Linked DNA regions of Arabidopsis thaliana. The protein of the gene in region 2 purifies or fractionates together with the protein of the main gene of each other region. This does not show direct contact. Each region holds a gene or a part of one and is shown on either strand. Other genes may lie near its edges. The genes, in order: AT3G23325, AT1G07170 and AT4G14342.

The links.
Region 1: the proteins of AT1G07170 (region 2) and AT3G23325 fractionate together in Arabidopsis thaliana (co-fractionation; one large-scale study listed by BioGRID). This does not show direct contact.
Region 3: the proteins of AT1G07170 (region 2) and AT4G14342 fractionate together in Arabidopsis thaliana (co-fractionation; one large-scale study listed by BioGRID). This does not show direct contact.

What each region holds. Positions count from the first base shown.
Region 1 is NC_003074.8:8,343,194-8,348,610, reverse strand, and holds AT3G23325 (Splicing factor 3B subunit 5/RDS3 complex subunit 10), read right to left. Parts: upstream 2,842-5,417; 5' UTR 2,804-2,841; coding exon 2,798-2,803; intron 2,614-2,797; coding exon 2,528-2,613; intron 2,444-2,527; coding exon 2,320-2,443; intron 2,245-2,319; exon of another isoform or gene 1,955-2,244; intron 1,803-1,954; coding exon 1,755-1,802; 3' UTR 1,469-1,754; downstream 1-1,468. Other genes in the region: AT3G23330 (Tetratricopeptide repeat (TPR)-like superfamily protein), read right to left, coding at 1-1,411; AT3G23320 (Polynucleotidyl transferase, ribonuclease H-like superfamily protein), read right to left, coding at 3,407-3,982; AT3G23310 (AGC (cAMP-dependent, cGMP-dependent and protein kinase C) kinase family protein), read right to left, coding at 5,256-5,410.
Region 2 is NC_003070.9:2,197,198-2,202,752, reverse strand, and holds AT1G07170 (PHF5-like protein), read right to left. Parts: upstream 2,757-5,555; 5' UTR 2,534-2,756; exon of another isoform or gene 2,116-2,533; 5' UTR 2,068-2,115; coding exon 1,735-2,067; 3' UTR 1,481-1,734; downstream 1-1,480. Other genes in the region: AT1G07175 (alternative NAD(P)H dehydrogenase), read right to left, coding at 1-103, 281-371; AT1G07160 (Protein phosphatase 2C family protein), read left to right, coding at 3,075-3,527, 3,834-4,178, 4,254-4,598.
Region 3 is NC_003075.7:8,251,656-8,257,898, forward strand, and holds AT4G14342 (Splicing factor 3B subunit 5/RDS3 complex subunit 10), read right to left. Parts: upstream 3,950-6,243; 5' UTR 3,751-3,949; coding exon 3,745-3,750; intron 3,516-3,744; coding exon 3,430-3,515; intron 3,342-3,429; coding exon 3,128-3,341; 3' UTR 2,845-3,127; intron 2,182-2,844; coding exon of another isoform or gene 2,134-2,181; 3' UTR 1,881-2,133; downstream 1-1,880. Other genes in the region: CKI1 (casein kinase I), read right to left, coding at 1-13; AT4G14350 (AGC (cAMP-dependent, cGMP-dependent and protein kinase C) kinase family protein), read right to left, coding at 4,794-4,906, 5,001-5,057, 5,167-5,251, 5,742-5,789, 5,961-6,074, 6,170-6,243.

The DNA.
Region 1 (5,417 bases), on a different chromosome or scaffold from region 2:
TCATGCTGTTGAAATATCCCCATGCCTCATCTACCAACCCCACATGACTACAAGCCGTTAGTACAGCAACAAATGCCACTTGATTCGGTTTCACTCCTTGTCGTTTCATCTCCTCAAACAACGAAACTGCTTCATGCCCATGACCATGTAACGCATGCCCCATTATAATAGCCGTCCATGATACTTCATCGAGTACATTCATCCTGTCAAAAATCTTCCTAGCAGCCTTAATATTCCCACATTTCGAGTACATATCAACAAGTGCACTAGCTATGAATATGTTACTGCCAAAGCCACCCCTTAATACATATCCGTGAAGTTGTTTCCCAAGGTGCAAGGTGGCTAGGTGAGCACAAGCAGGAATCACACTTGAGAACGCCACAGCCCCTGGCTTAACCTTTGCGGTCACCATTTGCCTGAACAATCTCAGAGCCTCATTGTATCTACCATTCTGTACATACCCAGCTACAAGCGAGTTCCACGAGATACCATCCCGACAATACAAGCGAGAAAACACTCTTTCAGAGTCTTCAATCCGAGCACTTTTCGCATACATATCAACCAAACTACTCCCAATATATACATCACTATCAATCCCTTTCCTAATCACATACCCATGAATCTCTTTCCCCTTAATAACATCCACATACTCAGAAAATATCGGAAGCACACTAGACAAAGTAAAAGAATCAGGCTTTAAGTCAGTAGTTCCCATCTCCCTAACCATTCTCAAAGCATCTTCATACATTCCACTCTGTGCATACCCTGCAATGATAGTATTATACGACACAACATCCTTTCTAGGCATCACTTCAAAAACCCTCCTCACACTGTCTATTCCAAAAGGCATAATGCAAGTTTCAGCCTTTACATCTTCGTCTCCAGAATTGGACGTTCTTTGAGGCATTTCATCGAACACATTACCTACACTAATCTTAGAACCCATACCAAGAAGCTTAGCATACATATTCATAAGCGCATTACCAGTATACAAATCACAATCCATACCAAGCCTAACAATAAACCCATGAACAGACTCACCAAATCTCAAATCCATCATCATCGTACACGATTTCAAAACAGAAGGAAACACATTGTGATCTGGGCATCTCCCAGAAGCTCGCATTTCCACAAACGAAGCTAACGCCTTGGAGAATAGAGACTGGTCGGTGAAGCATCTGATTACTGACTTCCATGCTAGAACAGGAGGAGACTTAAGGGTTTTGAAAAGAAGCAAAGCTTCGTGCAAAAGTTTAAGGTTTGTGTAGATTGAGATTACGATTGAAGCTGATGTATGAGAGAGTGATTGAGTTCTGATGAATTGTGCGTGAAGCTGCTTCGCTTGAGATTTGGATTTGATTCGAGTTGGATTCTTAATCAGGGTTTTGATTAGGGCTTTTGATGAACTCATCTTTGTCTCCTTCTCAGAGATTCACCATTAGCAAACATAAAGGTTTGATTTTTATTTTCGTCATTCATTTAAATACTCCAACTTTTAACCTCTTTTTTTTATGACTTGTTCAATTCAATTCTTTTGCAATAGTTGTTCGAGTAGCAAAAAGACTTTGAGTTTGACAATTGTATCAAGACTATAACAAAGTACAAATGTTTAGATCATGATCAACAACTGCATTATGAACTAGAAACAAGAAGAAGCCTTTTCGGCAATTACATTGGTGGAGCAGTTAAAGAAGATTGCACACAAGCTTCTAAGAAGTAGAATGTTTTTTTTAATTTCAAATGCACACAAGCTCTTACTCGTCTTCTCTTTCTGGAGGAAGGCCGCAAGGTAAGAGCATTTTCTGCAAAAAAAAAATCAAAGAAGTTTGGAGTTAGTAAAAGCTATTAGCAAAAATGCAAAGTCATTGACTCTTGAGTGTAGAAGAACCAGAAGATAACAGTTTGAAACAACCCTCAAGATTGGTAGTTTCCTGCTAACTTACGATATGATACAATCTGTTTTTGACAAATACAGGGTAAGGGTTAAAAGAGTTTCATGCTGCTCCCCTTTCCGGTTGCAGAGGCCAAGTAAATATCTTTGAGGAAGTTCCATTCTCCATTCTTAAGGGTAAGGAGTTGTTGCTGATATCAGAAGGAGGAATGTTGAAAAACTAGAATTATAGCAGGTTTTCTTGAGGCCCACAAGTTCCTTGAAGAGAAAGATATTTACTGGCTTCTCCAAGCTAAAGAGGGGAGCAGCAGGAACACTTTACCCTGTTTGAAACAACCCTAATTGTTCCTCTCCCTTAAGACACTAACACATTAACATTCTCAATATGATTCCTTGACATGATGCAAGAAGAAAGATAGTAAACAAACCTGCATGAAGTTGTAACGTTCTCGACCAATAGATTCGTTCTCAGCTATTGCAAAGTAAGAAAGCATCGGGTAGTGACCAATGTATGAAGCATAACTATCACGCTGAATGTTCACAGTCCATTCACTAACACAAAAACATTCAAAATTTTCAATAAGTTCACAATTTTGGAATCCTGAAAAATCCAAACAAAAAGTGAAAAATACTTACAATCTGCTCAAATCTGCATGACCTGTACCAACATACTTAGCTTGAAGATGCTCAAGCTGAGAATTTATGTTAAACCTATCACTTGCCTGCACAAAAACAAAAAAGTGAGATTACATAACTATCTGCTGCTTAAAAACCTAACCTTTACAAGAACTAAAGCAAATTGTTCCCAGATTTCAGCTACGCTTAGCTTAATCGTCAAGAAATTGTATAAAATTAGAGATAAGAACAAAAAAAAGTAACTAGGGTTTCGAATCGAGAGAGACAAACCTGCATCTTTCAGACTTCAGCGAGTTCGCAAGAAGAAGAATACAACTTCTGCTTCACTTTAATTAGGTTTATATATGTTTCACTGAGAAATTGATTGGGCTTTGAGAATGGGTCTGGCCCAAATCCATTACTAATAAATTTTTAATACGTGGCTATTATTATGAGAACCGGTACAAAAGAAAACCAAACCAGAACCGGACATTTCAATCAAACCAAATCATTAACTTTTAAATTTGGGATAAAAAAAACGTGAACTTCCGAAATGCCGCTAAAATTATAAAATTTCGTCTGACTTTTGATAAAATGATTAAGTTTCGTTGACTTTACTATTTTGGGCATGTCGTTAAATTTCCGTTAACAACAAAATAACGGAGTTAACTTTTCGTTAACATTTTCCGTTAGAAGCGAAACGACGTCGTTTCAAAATAAAAATATATTAAAATTTGCGCCAAGAATGGATTGAACTCGTGAACCTCCTAAATTATCACAAGCGCTCAACCAATATGCTATGATAACATTTCGATATTAATGAAAACTGATATATATATATATACGCAAAACTAATTAAAAACCGAACTATTTTTTTTTTTTTTCCTTCCAATAACTTTATTAATTCACGTGTTCAGCATCTTTGTTTACAAACGACATTAGAAATCTAGGACAAAAATGATATAGAGTATGATTTATATGATTAGCTACTGCTTTTTTCGCCAGAACATCAACACAAACGTTTTGTTCCCGGTGTCGAAATGTGAACTTCACAGTGGTGAAAGCTTTGCTCCATTGTTGAATGAATTCCAAATAGTATCGAAGTCGTGGATTAGTTTCTTTGTTTCGAATAAGGCGATTAACTGTGATGTTGTCGCCTTCAAATTCTACTCTCCTATATCCCAAATCCCAAGCGCATTGTATTGCCCATATGAGGGCAGTGCATTCAGCTTCCTTTATTGTTTGTCGACCCTGAAATTTCCCGCAGCCGCAGTCCAAACAGGTTCCTTGTGAGTTTCGAATAATCCATCTGAGGCCTGAGTCTTGTCTTCCCGCATGGTTAGAGACATCATAATTGCATTTGACCCATTCTGCTCCTGGTTTTTGCCATTTGTCCGTTCTTGAGGACTTGGTTTGGCCCCCTTTGACGTTGTCATCATTTTTATGCTTAACATCCAGCCATTCTTTCGTGTCCATTATCGCTTGGTTTATCACATCAGCGACAGCGATTGCTTTTTTGTTGAAGACTAAATCATTCCGGCTCTTCCAAATCCTCCATATTAACCAAAATGGCAAATAAAAATATTAAAAATGATGTAAATTATAAAAATGCACCTACCAAATAAAAACCGAACTATAAAAACAATAACTAAACATGTAAAAATATTAAATACACCTACCATTAATATATATTCTCAAATAACAATGTAAATTTTTTTATTAAACGTATTGAATTAAAAAAAAATTCTCTTAAATTATATAAAAATCAAACTTGTGAAATATAACACCTATAAATATATTACCAAAAAATAACTTTTTATATACTTTCCATCTAATTATGAATAAAAAAATTGATTTGAAGACGGAATAATGATCTTATATTTTTCTTTTATTAAATATTTATCAAATTAATTTATAAAATATATGTTTTATTATAAATAAAATTATATATAAAGTGAAGTTGAATGAAATTCTATGTGCATGTATAGATTAATCCTATATTCATATGAGAAGGATTGTGTAAATTTTAGGTAATTTTCTATATTATTGATTTATTTTAGTTGGTTATTTTTAATTAGTTACGTATATATATATATATATGTATATGTTTACTATACTTCTAAAAAGTTAACGTGGCTCAATGGTTTTAGTCCTTCAATAGCACCTAAAAGGTCACCAGTTCAACTCTACTTGGTGTTTGTTTTTTGTTTTTTTCTTTAATTTCAAAACGACGTCGTTTCGCTTTTAACAGAAAAAATTAACAGAAAATTAATCACGTTATCTTTTTGTTAACGAAAACTTAACGACATGTTCAAAATGGCAAAGTCAACAAAACTTGACTATTTATCAAAAGTCAAACAAAAGTTTACGATTTTAATGGCATTTTGGAAGTTCATGTTTTTTTCGTCCCAAATTTGAAAGTTCATGATTTTTTTGACATTTTTCCCATTGTCCGCTTTAGAACTGTGTGGTAAACAAACCAAATTTGATTTTTACCCAAACAAAACAATCAAACAAATAAATAAAACCACATTCTGAAAATGACTATTTACTTCCTTTTGCTTCAAACTAAACCTTTTGAACAACCAAATATTATCCTATGTAGAAACTGTTGAACAAATCCTTAATCTTCTCACACAATAGCCTTCACCGCCACAATGGAAACTGTACTATCTCCAACCGTAAATCCGCCACCTCAAACCGTGTTTTGGTGTGTTAACCGGGACCAAAGTGTAGCAAAGAGTCTGGTTTAGGATGTGGCATTGTCGAAACGTGTGGTGGAAGATGATAGGGTTTCACTAGATGAGCTTGATTTGTCTTCTTTCTCTGGAACTTCGATTTGTGTTGGCAAGAGTTTCATAAAGCTTCCTTGGTGGCTTGTGGTGCTACTGGCTGATTCATCCTCTGCCAA
Region 2 (5,555 bases):
CGACGCCTTCCAGGTGGATTGTGTTTGGCGTTGGCCGATGGCTCGCCGTAGTCGTTGGTGCTCACCATCAATGATCTACCCCTCACCATCATCTTTTCGTTTTCTGTCATGCATGCAGGTTTAACATATATTACGAAGCTAAAACTTAGATAATTACGAAAGTAATTAATCCAACGATATACTATTATGGATTTCAAAATTCGAATGAGGAGTTTATATACAACTCCAAAATTTGATCTTTTCTGTATGTAGATAGGATGATGAGCTCGATTTCTCTTACCTGAAAATGAAAAAGTTAGTCGAGCCGAAGAGACGATTGAAAGTGCCAAGAAAATGCATAAACACAGCCGAATTGCATAACAAAAAACCATCTTCTCTTCTCTTTCCCCTTTTTCTCTTCCTCTTTCTCTTCTCTATTCAACTATATCTCTCGTAACCCTCTCCTTTTATAAACGTGAAATGGAAATGTATTCATTAATAATAAAGATTAATTAACCTTATTTTTCAAACTACTTTAATATATATATTTCGGACAGTGCTACATAACCGGAATAGTGCAATTTATTGACATGGAAGCATTCCTACAAACATATCATTTTGAATGTCTAACCCAAATTCGAGCAAAATACATTTATAAGGAATTAGGGCACAACAAAATTTAAAACATTTTGATTAAAGATTGGTGTAGATACCTGCAAAGGCATGTGGTTTGAAATATTTTGATATTAAAAGTCTGTCTATTACAACATTTTACATCACTATATAAATCTTGTGTTTCATTGTTTCAGTGGTCTTCCCTGAATAAATCATCAGCGTAAACGTTTCTTACAAATTAACGTTTTTCTTAATGGCTAGCTACAATATCAAATTTTCGTCTAAATATTTTTTGACTCGTAAATAGCAATTATTTAGATTATGATTGAATTAATTCGGCTAGAAATACAGGATCTGTTTCGAAATAAAGTAGCTGATGTTTAACACGTGTCATTGTCTTATTGGAGATAGGAGTTGACTATTGCAGACAAATTGTGGATTCCACACTGTTAAGTTAACAGTTAACACATAAACGAAGCGAACATGCATGGGCAGTTGACTTACAGGCACCGTCCGATATAAAAAGTCAACGTCTATATTTTTGGCCCAAAAAAGGGATTTTGGGGTTTCCTTACTTTGAAAACGAATATTTCTGAATTCTGACGATCATGTGGGGTTTTTTATGTAATGGATGATAACCTTTTTGTCGACGTTAGAGAGTCAGAGTTATTGCGTATTCTTTAAAGTTTTAAGTTGACATTTATCTAGAAAATTATAGTTATCGCCCAGCTATGTATTCAATCATAGCTGAATTCACAAGTGGTAATGCTGTTAAAACTTAAAAGAATGAAGTTGATTTATACACAAGATTACGTTAATTTTGTGAGTCAGATAATTCATTGGCAAACACAGAGGGACGGTGTTTCTCCAGAAAACTTCCGAGGCCTAATCCACCAACTGAATCATATTTATGGACAACCAAACGCTAACAATCACATAATTGACAACCACTTAAGAAACAGTAACCAACCATAGCAATGGTAATAAGGCTGACTAAATCAACAAACCATAATCCTTAGTTTGAACCCATGTCTTAAATTACTTCACCGGATAAAATTTCCTTAACACAAACAAGACAAGTACAGACACTTTCCTAGCATCAATAAATAAAAGATCAATAGCTCAAGTAACAACAAACTACTATCGTTTTTTGAATCCATATTTCTTACGTTCATAGAACAGATCAGTTTTGGCACTGCCAAGATTGACTATCTTAGGACAACCATCTCTATCTTTCTCCTGTTGTGTACACTCTTTGCAGTAGTAAGCATCCGAGATTCCAACTCCTCCGCATATGACACACCGCCCTTGGAACGAACCATAGTTGCATTCATCGCAAATCCTAACCAGAGTACACGGGCGGACATAGGAATCACATATGACGCATTTTCCATCACACTTCTCGCACAGTCGCCCAATAGCAATGCCAGGTTGTTTCCGGCACATGATCAAATCAGGATGATGCTTGGCCATGACTGCTTAAAGAAGATCTTGCTCTTCCTCGATTAAGAAGATTTTGACCTGCAAATAACATTGGTTAACAAAGTAAAGAAAACACAATTTTTGTTTCTCAGAGGCATTTCAACAAACACCTATCAGGCAGCAGTTATTCTACTTACAGTTCCACTCAAGCTGAAACTTTTCTATATCCAATTCTAGCTAAATCAATGGAACGACGGTAAATTCTTGAAGTTCACTGAAAAGTGAACAAGAAACGAAGCAACAATGGAAACCATCAATTCGCTGAATCGAACACAGATAAACAAGAGAAAGCTGTTCGAGCCCAAAACGGAGCGGCGCAAAAGAATAAGCATAGACAACGCTAAACCCTAAGAATTCAGAGAAACATGAACACGGAACGAAATTTCTGAATCAGTAACATCTATCACGCATAAATCAAAGTTAAAAAACAACAAAGGAAAATATTATCGAAACTAACCTCGAAGGAGAACGAAGAAGAAGAGAAGGTGTCTGAACTAGCGATCCCTGATCTCCGAGCCGCCGATCCGAACAAGAGATGGCTCTGCAAATAAAACGACCCGGGTCGGGTTTCTAAAGATCCATGTAGGTCCGACTTAATATGGGCTATCTCATTAAAGGCTTTCCTGATGGGCTTTTTAATTTTAGGTGTTGATTTCTTTCCTATTTCGGCCTTATTTGACTTTTTATCTTCCCAAAGTCATTTAATTTCTGGAAAATCGCAGTTGACAAAGAAAAAGCAGAAAAAATGGACTGTGGCGGTGGATTCATGATTTGAAAAAGTCAAAGAGAAAGATGAGAGTGGTAACGTTTGACCTGGAAGAAGAAGAAGAAGCAACGGCCACAGAGAAACAGAGAAAGACTTGTCCAGGTCTTATATTATATATTCAAGCCTCTTTCTTCTCTCTCGTTGACACTAAACAGAGAAACACAAACGTCTAGAAGACTAACAATCAAATCAATCATCAGAAAAAGGAAACTTTTAAGTTTTCTACGAAACGATGTCGTCTTCAGTTGCCGTTTGCAACTCACCGGTGTTCTCTCCGTCTTCGTCTCTTTTCTGCAACAAACCGTTGAACACTTCTCCGGCACATGAAACCCTAACCCTGTCTCTTTCCCATCTCAATCCTCCCGTTTCTTCTACTTCTCCTTCCGCCGCGTCTCCCACATCTCCGTTCTGCCTCCGTCTCCTGAAACCGCCGGCTAAACTAGGGTTTGGATCGGACTCTGGTCCGGGAAGCATTCTGAAGAGGAAACGACCGACGACGCTTGATATACCGGTGGCTCCGGTTGGTATTGCAGCTCCTATATCGAATGCAGATACGCCGAGGGAGGAGAGTAGAGCAGTGGAGAGGGAAGGTGATGGTTACTCTGTTTATTGCAAGAGAGGTAAAAGAGAAGCTATGGAGGATCGTTTCTCTGCCATCACTAATCTTCAAGGAGATCCCAAACAGGTAATTTCAATTTTCTTCCGTAATTTCGAGTTTATTTACTGATTATTGCTTAATTAGTATGAATTGCGATTTGAAGATGGGTAATATATAACTTAAAATTTATTTATGCTGTGTTGTTGACTCAATGAATCAAATTAGAAGTTCTAAAGATTATAAGAAAATTCAGTGAATCATATATATGACAAATTGTATGAGTAGTTCTTGATTAGATAGAACCAATGACTAGTGTTCAAGAAAAAAAAAAAAGATAGATCCAGTGACTTACAAAATGGGGATTTAACATTTTTAGCTTTTTTATAACCGCAGGCAATATTCGGAGTCTATGATGGTCACGGAGGACCAACAGCGGCTGAGTTTGCGGCTAAGAACTTGTGTAGTAACATTCTTGGCGAGATAGTTGGTGGGAGGAACGAGTCAAAGATTGAAGAAGCTGTAAAACGTGGTTATCTAGCGACTGATTCTGAGTTTCTCAAGGAAAAAAACGTTAAGGGCGGCTCGTGCTGTGTCACGGCTCTGATCAGCGACGGAAATCTTGTGGTGGCCAATGCTGGTGACTGCCGTGCTGTTTTGAGCGTTGGAGGATTCGCGGAGGCCTTGACTTCTGACCACCGCCCTTCCAGAGATGATGAACGAAACAGAATTGAGAGCTCGGTAAGAATTCTTGCAAAAGAAGTTACTGTTAGGTTTTATCATGATTACATGGTTCTGATTACGATAATCCTGCAGGGCGGTTATGTGGATACATTCAATAGTGTTTGGAGAATTCAAGGATCATTAGCGGTATCTAGAGGAATAGGAGATGCTCATCTCAAACAATGGATAATATCTGAACCAGAGATAAATATTCTCCGAATCAATCCCCAACACGAGTTCTTGATCTTAGCATCAGATGGTCTATGGGACAAGGTTAGTAATCAGGAGGCAGTAGACATAGCTCGACCATTTTGCAAAGGGACCGATCAGAAACGGAAGCCATTGCTGGCTTGCAAGAAGCTCGTTGACCTCTCTGTATCACGAGGCTCCTTGGACGATATTAGTGTGATGTTGATTCAGTTGTGCCACCTCTTCTGACCATAGGAGAAATGTAGAGACAGAATAACAACGTTAGAGTCTGAAGTCATTCTTAATTTCTTACATTTTATTTTTTATTGTTTTCTAAGCATTCACTGTGAATGATTCACATATTCTTTTATTCGTTTTTAACTTCATTTAGTCATTTGAGCTGTTATGATACTTGTGTATACCATCTTAGACTGTCTTTACTCTCTATTGATAATCCTTATAGCCTTATAGGTCTTCTATGTAAAAACTCGTTAAGGCTTGTAAGTTGTATGTGAGTACTTTACCACTCAATACATTATATATTACTACTCTTTTATGAGATAATGTGGATCGACTTAAATGTGTAGGCTAGTACTGGTTTGTTTCAAGAGTTCATAAAATTCATGTTTTGAAAGTTTTTTACTTTTACGTTTATATGGACGCGTATTTCTTAACTACGTTAGTTCATAAATATCTTAGGCTCTTAGCCATTACCTTAATCCTATAAAATATTGAAAAGTCTGAAAGTTTAGTACGGTATTAAGTACATAGTGCAATGTCATTTTCTTAAGTTGTTTTCCAAGTGGATTCTCCTAGACATGCAAATTGGAAAATATGGTATGGGTCCTAAAAATCTTCAAATAATATCTTATGTTTTGGACATTTCTAGTAATTTATTCACCCACACATATATAAAAGGTGAAATTAGTTGCCCTAAGAGGATATGGAAGCAGTGGTGGACCGTTCAAATAGCACTTCACGTTCGCGGAAGGTCAAAGCTTGGCCAGAGAAACAACAAACAAAGTACATATATAATTTAGTTGCGGCGGCATTTTTTTTCTTTTGGAATTAATGGAAGAAAGGTTTCTGTATTTTGAAATAATTCAAAGATCAAAGAAAGATTATAGTGCATGCATAAAAGTTCGAATTCTAATGGTTAGCTAAATCATTAGCAAGCTTTGACCAAACTTCAATCGTAGTTTCAAA
Region 3 (6,243 bases), on a different chromosome or scaffold from region 2:
GATTCCGATCCATCTTTTTCCGAATTCCGATGATAATCCGATTCACCAGTAAAACCCGATTCTCATATACTTAATACGGTTCCAATCAAAACCCTAGTCGCTAAATCAGAAACTGGGTCCAAAGCAAACACAGTGATTGAAGGAAGCTGATTTAGTGGTGAAAGTTGAGGACTTTCGCAAGAAAAGAGAAAGAAAGTTGTTTTCTTTTACTTGGAGAAAGAAGAAGAATCTCTGGGGGGACAAAGAATTAGAAGAATCGGATCTGAGTTTGAGGGAAGATTTTGCGGAGATTTGCGGAAGAAAAGAGAAAGAGAAAGAAGAAGAAGGGAATAATAAAGAAATGAATATGTGAAAATTGAATTTAACCTAAAGAAAGACAAAACTTCAACGTAAATATTTATCATTCATTGAATCTTTTTATTTTATTTTTGTATACTGTTTTTTTTTTAATTACTTAGAAGAAAAAATTAGTTGTTTTCGTGCACGGTTTAACATTTAAATTCTCTGTTTTCTAACGACCAAAACTCTAATTCGTAATAACCATAAACATCACTTAATCAACAACAACACGAAACAAGTTTGCAAAACTTTATAATATATTTTTATTAAAAACAGAATCTACCACCAAAAAAAAAAGTTCTACATTTGTCATTTTTCAAGCTGAAATTTTCATTTTACGTTTATATATTTTGATACATTATTGGGGATAGAGTATAATCTCATTAAGATTATCACTATATATCTTGTGATAGAGTTATGTCCTATATTTTAGGGATTAGAGTATATCTCATAAGATGTCTCTCTTGTATAAATACTATACTTTGTGAATCAATAAAATCAAGTTAGTGCAATACCTAAGTCTACATACATCACCCAATTTACATTGATTTATTTAAGTTTTTTTTTACTCATTTACTAATCGTACCAATATGTTGATGAACATTTTTGGATTTAAACTGTCAACAAATCGTGTACTAGCGCAATATTATCATATTATCACTTTGTTCTATCTTATGATCTCTCGCTTGGACAGATTCTGGAAGTGCATGTAAAGGACCTGATTTTATAAAAGTTCAAACAATTTAAAAAAGAAAGCATCCATTTACTTGTGGATCTCCCGAACGCTTGGTAACGTCGATACATGGAACACTTGTTGATGAGTCTTGAGAAATCAAGCTCATACTTAATAACCAGTTTACATGTCGTTAGTAGATCTTCTCGATGAACTCATGAACACAGTGTGAAATTCATGAGTTTCTTCTATATGGTAATTTAGTAGGATAGCTAATGTTCTTCTATGCTATATTAAGCATTTTGTTTTTACTTTCATTTTCAATATGAAAATTAACATGTGTCTCTAAAGGTAAACGTGTTAGGACCATTCATCTTGAGTCAAGTGATATTTCACATGCATGGGAAACAAAACTTATTGATAATTGTATACAATGACTAAAGTTTTATAATGTTTATGAAACTTTCGGATTGTATACAATGACTAAAGTTTTATAATGTTTATGAAACTTTCGGTATTGTTAAAGTATTATGATGGTCAATGAAACTAGGCAAAAATAAGTCAAAGAGAATAAGAAAAATTATCCATAAGTAAGCAAGCTTATAATAGATGCGTATGATTATATCAACTATAGTGTTTATAGGCTTCCATCGTTGACGATATTACATTATTTATAGTTTAGATTTTAGAATACGTTTGATGAAATGGCTTTTGGTTTAAGTGGCCTAAGCTTTTTGCTTTTATTTGTCCATTTGTCACACCCGTTGTTTTCTTGTCGTTTGGACATCCCACGGTAAGAATTTATGTCGGGAACTTTTAACAAATCAAACTAGGCATGCAATAACGGTTATGTCGGATTATTCGGGTTTTTGGATAGTTCAAAAATTGAAAATTTTGATGAATTTGATTAAAACACGAAACCGTGTAAAACCAACCTAAAAATCCAAGGTGTTTTGTTTTTTACATTCAAGAAAAGCAAACTTACACAGACAAAGTTGTTTTTTAACAGTCATATAAATCTCTACCAGAAGATCAAATTGGACAGTTTTTAAAACTCCAAACCAACATTCCATCACACGAGTTCTTGATAACTTGAAAGACAAATCGAATCCTCATGTCACCTATTCCTCTTCTCTTTCCGGAGGAAGGCCGCAGGGTAATAGCATTTTCTGGAAATCAAAAGACATCTCAAGTTATTCCAAAACATCATCACATCTACAAAGTGTAACCAATTTTTTGAGCAAAGAACACCCCACAAATATTCATATTTTTCTATGCTTTTCGATTAACCCTCAAGAAGACCATATATTCAGATATAAGAGATCGCTATCACAAGATTATTCAACCATGTAAGAGACCTGTTTCATGAAAAAACTGAAAGCCAAGGCGAGCTCACAACTGTTTGTGAAAGGAACTAAGCTTCCATTAATTTGAGAATTGAGGACAAATGAAAACATTTGAGTGAGAGACCACACCATAACCTAATGCTCTATAATCTAATTGTAACCTACACAACTGGAGGCTGCTGAATGGTCAGTGAAATGTGAAGTCCATAGTCTAGGAAATCAACATATCACGACAAATAGAGAAATACGCCATTGACAAGACCTAAACTAAAACCATACAACAAATCAATGAATCTGAAAAGGAAAAGGAATGAGATATACCACAAGATAACCACGAAATGATACATTCCTAATCGACTACACATAGAATCATAATCCAAACCTTGAACTGTAGATTTGTCACTAGATAAAGGATGAGGCAAAAGGAAAGTACAGAATTTTACTGATAAGATTCCTATTAACACAGAGAATAGGAAGCAAACCTACATGAAATTCTAACCTATCACACATTTCAACCATGCAAGAGGCGAATAAACCGAAACCAACCGAGTTGAGTAAGACCATGACCCAACGCTCTCTAATATAATTGTATCCTACAGAACTAGAGGCTGCTGAAATAGTCAGTCAAAACTGAAGTCCATGGTCTAAGAAATCAAAATATCACGACGAATAGACAAATACGACATTTAACAGTAAACTAAAAACCATACAACAAAGCAATAAATCTGGAAGGCAACATAAGTTACATAACCATATGATACGCACCTAATCAAATAAACATAGAATCATAATCCAAATCTTGAACTGTAGATTTGTCACTAGAGAAAGTAATATGCAAAAGACATGAAAGGAGGCAAACCTGCATGAAATTGTAGCGTTCTCGTCCAATAGACTCGTTCTCAGCAATAGCAAAGTATGAAAGCATAGGGTAGTGACCAATGTATGAAGCATAACTATCACGCTGAATGTTCACAGCCCACTCACTGTACCATTTAAACCAATTCCACAAATTAGTAGCCAATAAAAACAATGCATATAAAAATTTGAACACTAAAATCAAAAGAAACTCACAATCTACTCAAATCAGCATGACCGGTTCCAACATATTTAGCTTGAAGATGCTCAAGCTGAGAATTGATGTTAAACCTATCACTTGCCTGCAAAAGAAAAAAACCCAAACCAAAAGATGTTAAATTTAAAGCAAATTGTTCCCGATTTCATCTATATATGCTTTATAAGAAACAAATCGACCTAATTTCGTCTAAGCCAATTCTCTTCGACATAGATAAATTAAACAGACAGAGAATCAAAGGTAGAAGAAGCTAATTAGGTTATTTCTTCTTCCAATTTACCAACAAAAGCTAGGGTTTCGGATCGAGAACATACCTGCATCTTTTTCAGAGTTTCGCAGCAACTAGAAGAAGAAGAAGAAGAAGAAGAAGAAGAAGAAGAAGAAGAAGAAGATCTAAACCCTATCTTTCTTCAAGTCCTTTATCTGCTAATTGTTTTCGGTTAATATTTAAATCCGAAATAACCGACCGGTTCGTTCGGTGTACCCGAAGTAGTAGATCATAAAATGAAAACGTGGTCGTTTCACATAATAAAGAAGTTAAGGCAAGAAGCTTGGAATTTGGCTAACAATTGTGGATTCTTTAATCATTATCAATCTACAGAATACAAACAAAAGTGGCTGTAGTTTAGTGGTTAGAATCCCACGTTGTGGCCGTGGGGACCTGGGCTCGAATCCCAGCAGCCACACTTAGTCTTTTTTCTTTTTTATACTATTTTGACATTTGAAGAAGGTCTCTTAAGGGCCTACGAATACTCATAGAGGTACATTTGTTCTCTACTTCTTTTGTATGCACTTTTTAGTCTTCAGTCTTCACACGCAATTGGTTCCAAAGGCCTACATATAGTGTAGACTGTAGACTTTTAGCACCAAATCTGAGGTGCCATTAAGCCATCTGTTTCACTCTTGAGTGTACTCAATTAAACACATTCAGTGAGAACAGTTTTTCAGATTGGCGCTTTTTCTAATCTAATAAATAGTAAATACTTTTGCTTATAGCATTAGAGGGTGAAGATTTCATCTTGAGGTTTAGTAGTACAACCAAGTTTTGATTAACCAAAAAAAAAAAAATCAAATACCAAAGCTCACCTTCTCTCCCTGTGAAAATAAATAAACAAGCCAATTCCGAAAAGAATATTTACTTTTTCACTTTTCTATGTTGAAAACAATTAAACAAATCCATCTTTCTCCTCTGGGAGAGCCTTCGCTTCCACTGGAGAGACTGTACTTTGTTGAAAAACCCCTGCTAACTCCAACTTTTAACAGTCGTTTAGAGAAAGCAAAAGGCTTTCAACGAAATCAACAACACACATGTTAATATAACAAGAGTCTTCTGGTTCAGGCTGTGCAATGTGTCAAATGAAATTCACCCGGATGAGCTCGACTTACTACCTTCTTTCTCTGGATCTTCAATCTGCGTCGGTAGTAGATTCAAAAAGCTTCCTTGGTGGGTTGTTGTCCCACCAGATGTTTCGTCTTCTGTTAATTTAGTTTCCACAGTTTGGTTAGAGAGAATCAAACATGGATCGTAATCATCTTGATTTTACAAATAGCATACAAACAGATGATTTACCAAAGAGAGATTTAATAGACGGCCTTTTTGGCTTATTGCTCTTCTTCTTCAACTCAGCTGCACAATAAAACAAATTACAAATGCAGCAAACATGCGATGATAATCACAAGGTAATCTAGTATTGTTGCTTCTTCCTCAGCAACGGAAGGGGGGTTAAGTGAATTACCTATCCCTGGTATTTGGTCATCATTTACGATTTCTACGTTCTTGTAAGTATAACCAACAAAGTTAATGTCTTTGGATGAGAGCATCTGGAGAAGAAAAAAAGAAAGCCAGCGTCATGTTATGAAATTCACAAGAATCCTTTTGGTTCATGACATAAATTCTATTGACAGAACAGGTTCTAAGTTATATCATGTTGGTCCAAAAAGATAAGTGATTCATCTAACACACGTCAACATGCAGAACTGGCAGATTAACAACATAATTCTGTTAGTAGCATCCCAATCAGCTCCAAATTCTAAATTACCATAAGAAAATTTGAACCTAAAAGAGTGAATCACGTTTTTGTGAATATAGTACAAAGATAGAAACGCCTGTGACAGAAACTGAGCCAATTTCATCATTCTGAGCTCTTTGTTGCATGTAATATTTTAAGCTACGTCTGTAGTATCATCAAAGAACAACATATCTCAAGGAACCCACTTATAGATAAATTTTGAAGTATGATCACTCTTCTATTAGATAAAAAAAAAAAGCTTGATGGTACATAATGCCAAAAAGTCAGTGCTTATGCTGTACCTTTCTCCATGGACCTGACTTGGCTGACTTTGGAACTTGCTTGTCAGTCTGTTCCAGAAGGAATCAAAGAAGAGTATACATTATTTTCCTTATCAGGAGCATAAAAATCATCTGTGATACCAATATTTCAGTATATACATCATGCCACATCATTTGGTGGCATATATTGCACCAATATTTCACTATAGACATCATTAGCTGATAGTATCAGTGTGTTACCTCTTCAAATTTCTCAAAATTTTGGGTGTCCAACTCATCATTAACTTGGGGAATAAAGGCAGCTTTCATTTGATACAATTTTCCCCATTCTGTGCCTCTAAACCAAGGGTGACCCTGAAAGAAACCAGTCAAATCGTTTTTAAGAATTGCACACAATGATCTTACATAAGGGAACTTTGAATCTCAAAGTTGAACAACGCATACAACACCTTAATTTCATCTGCTCCTTTTGTTCCAAGCCTTTGTTCAACATTGCATAAAAGCCTACAAATAAGATCCTTGG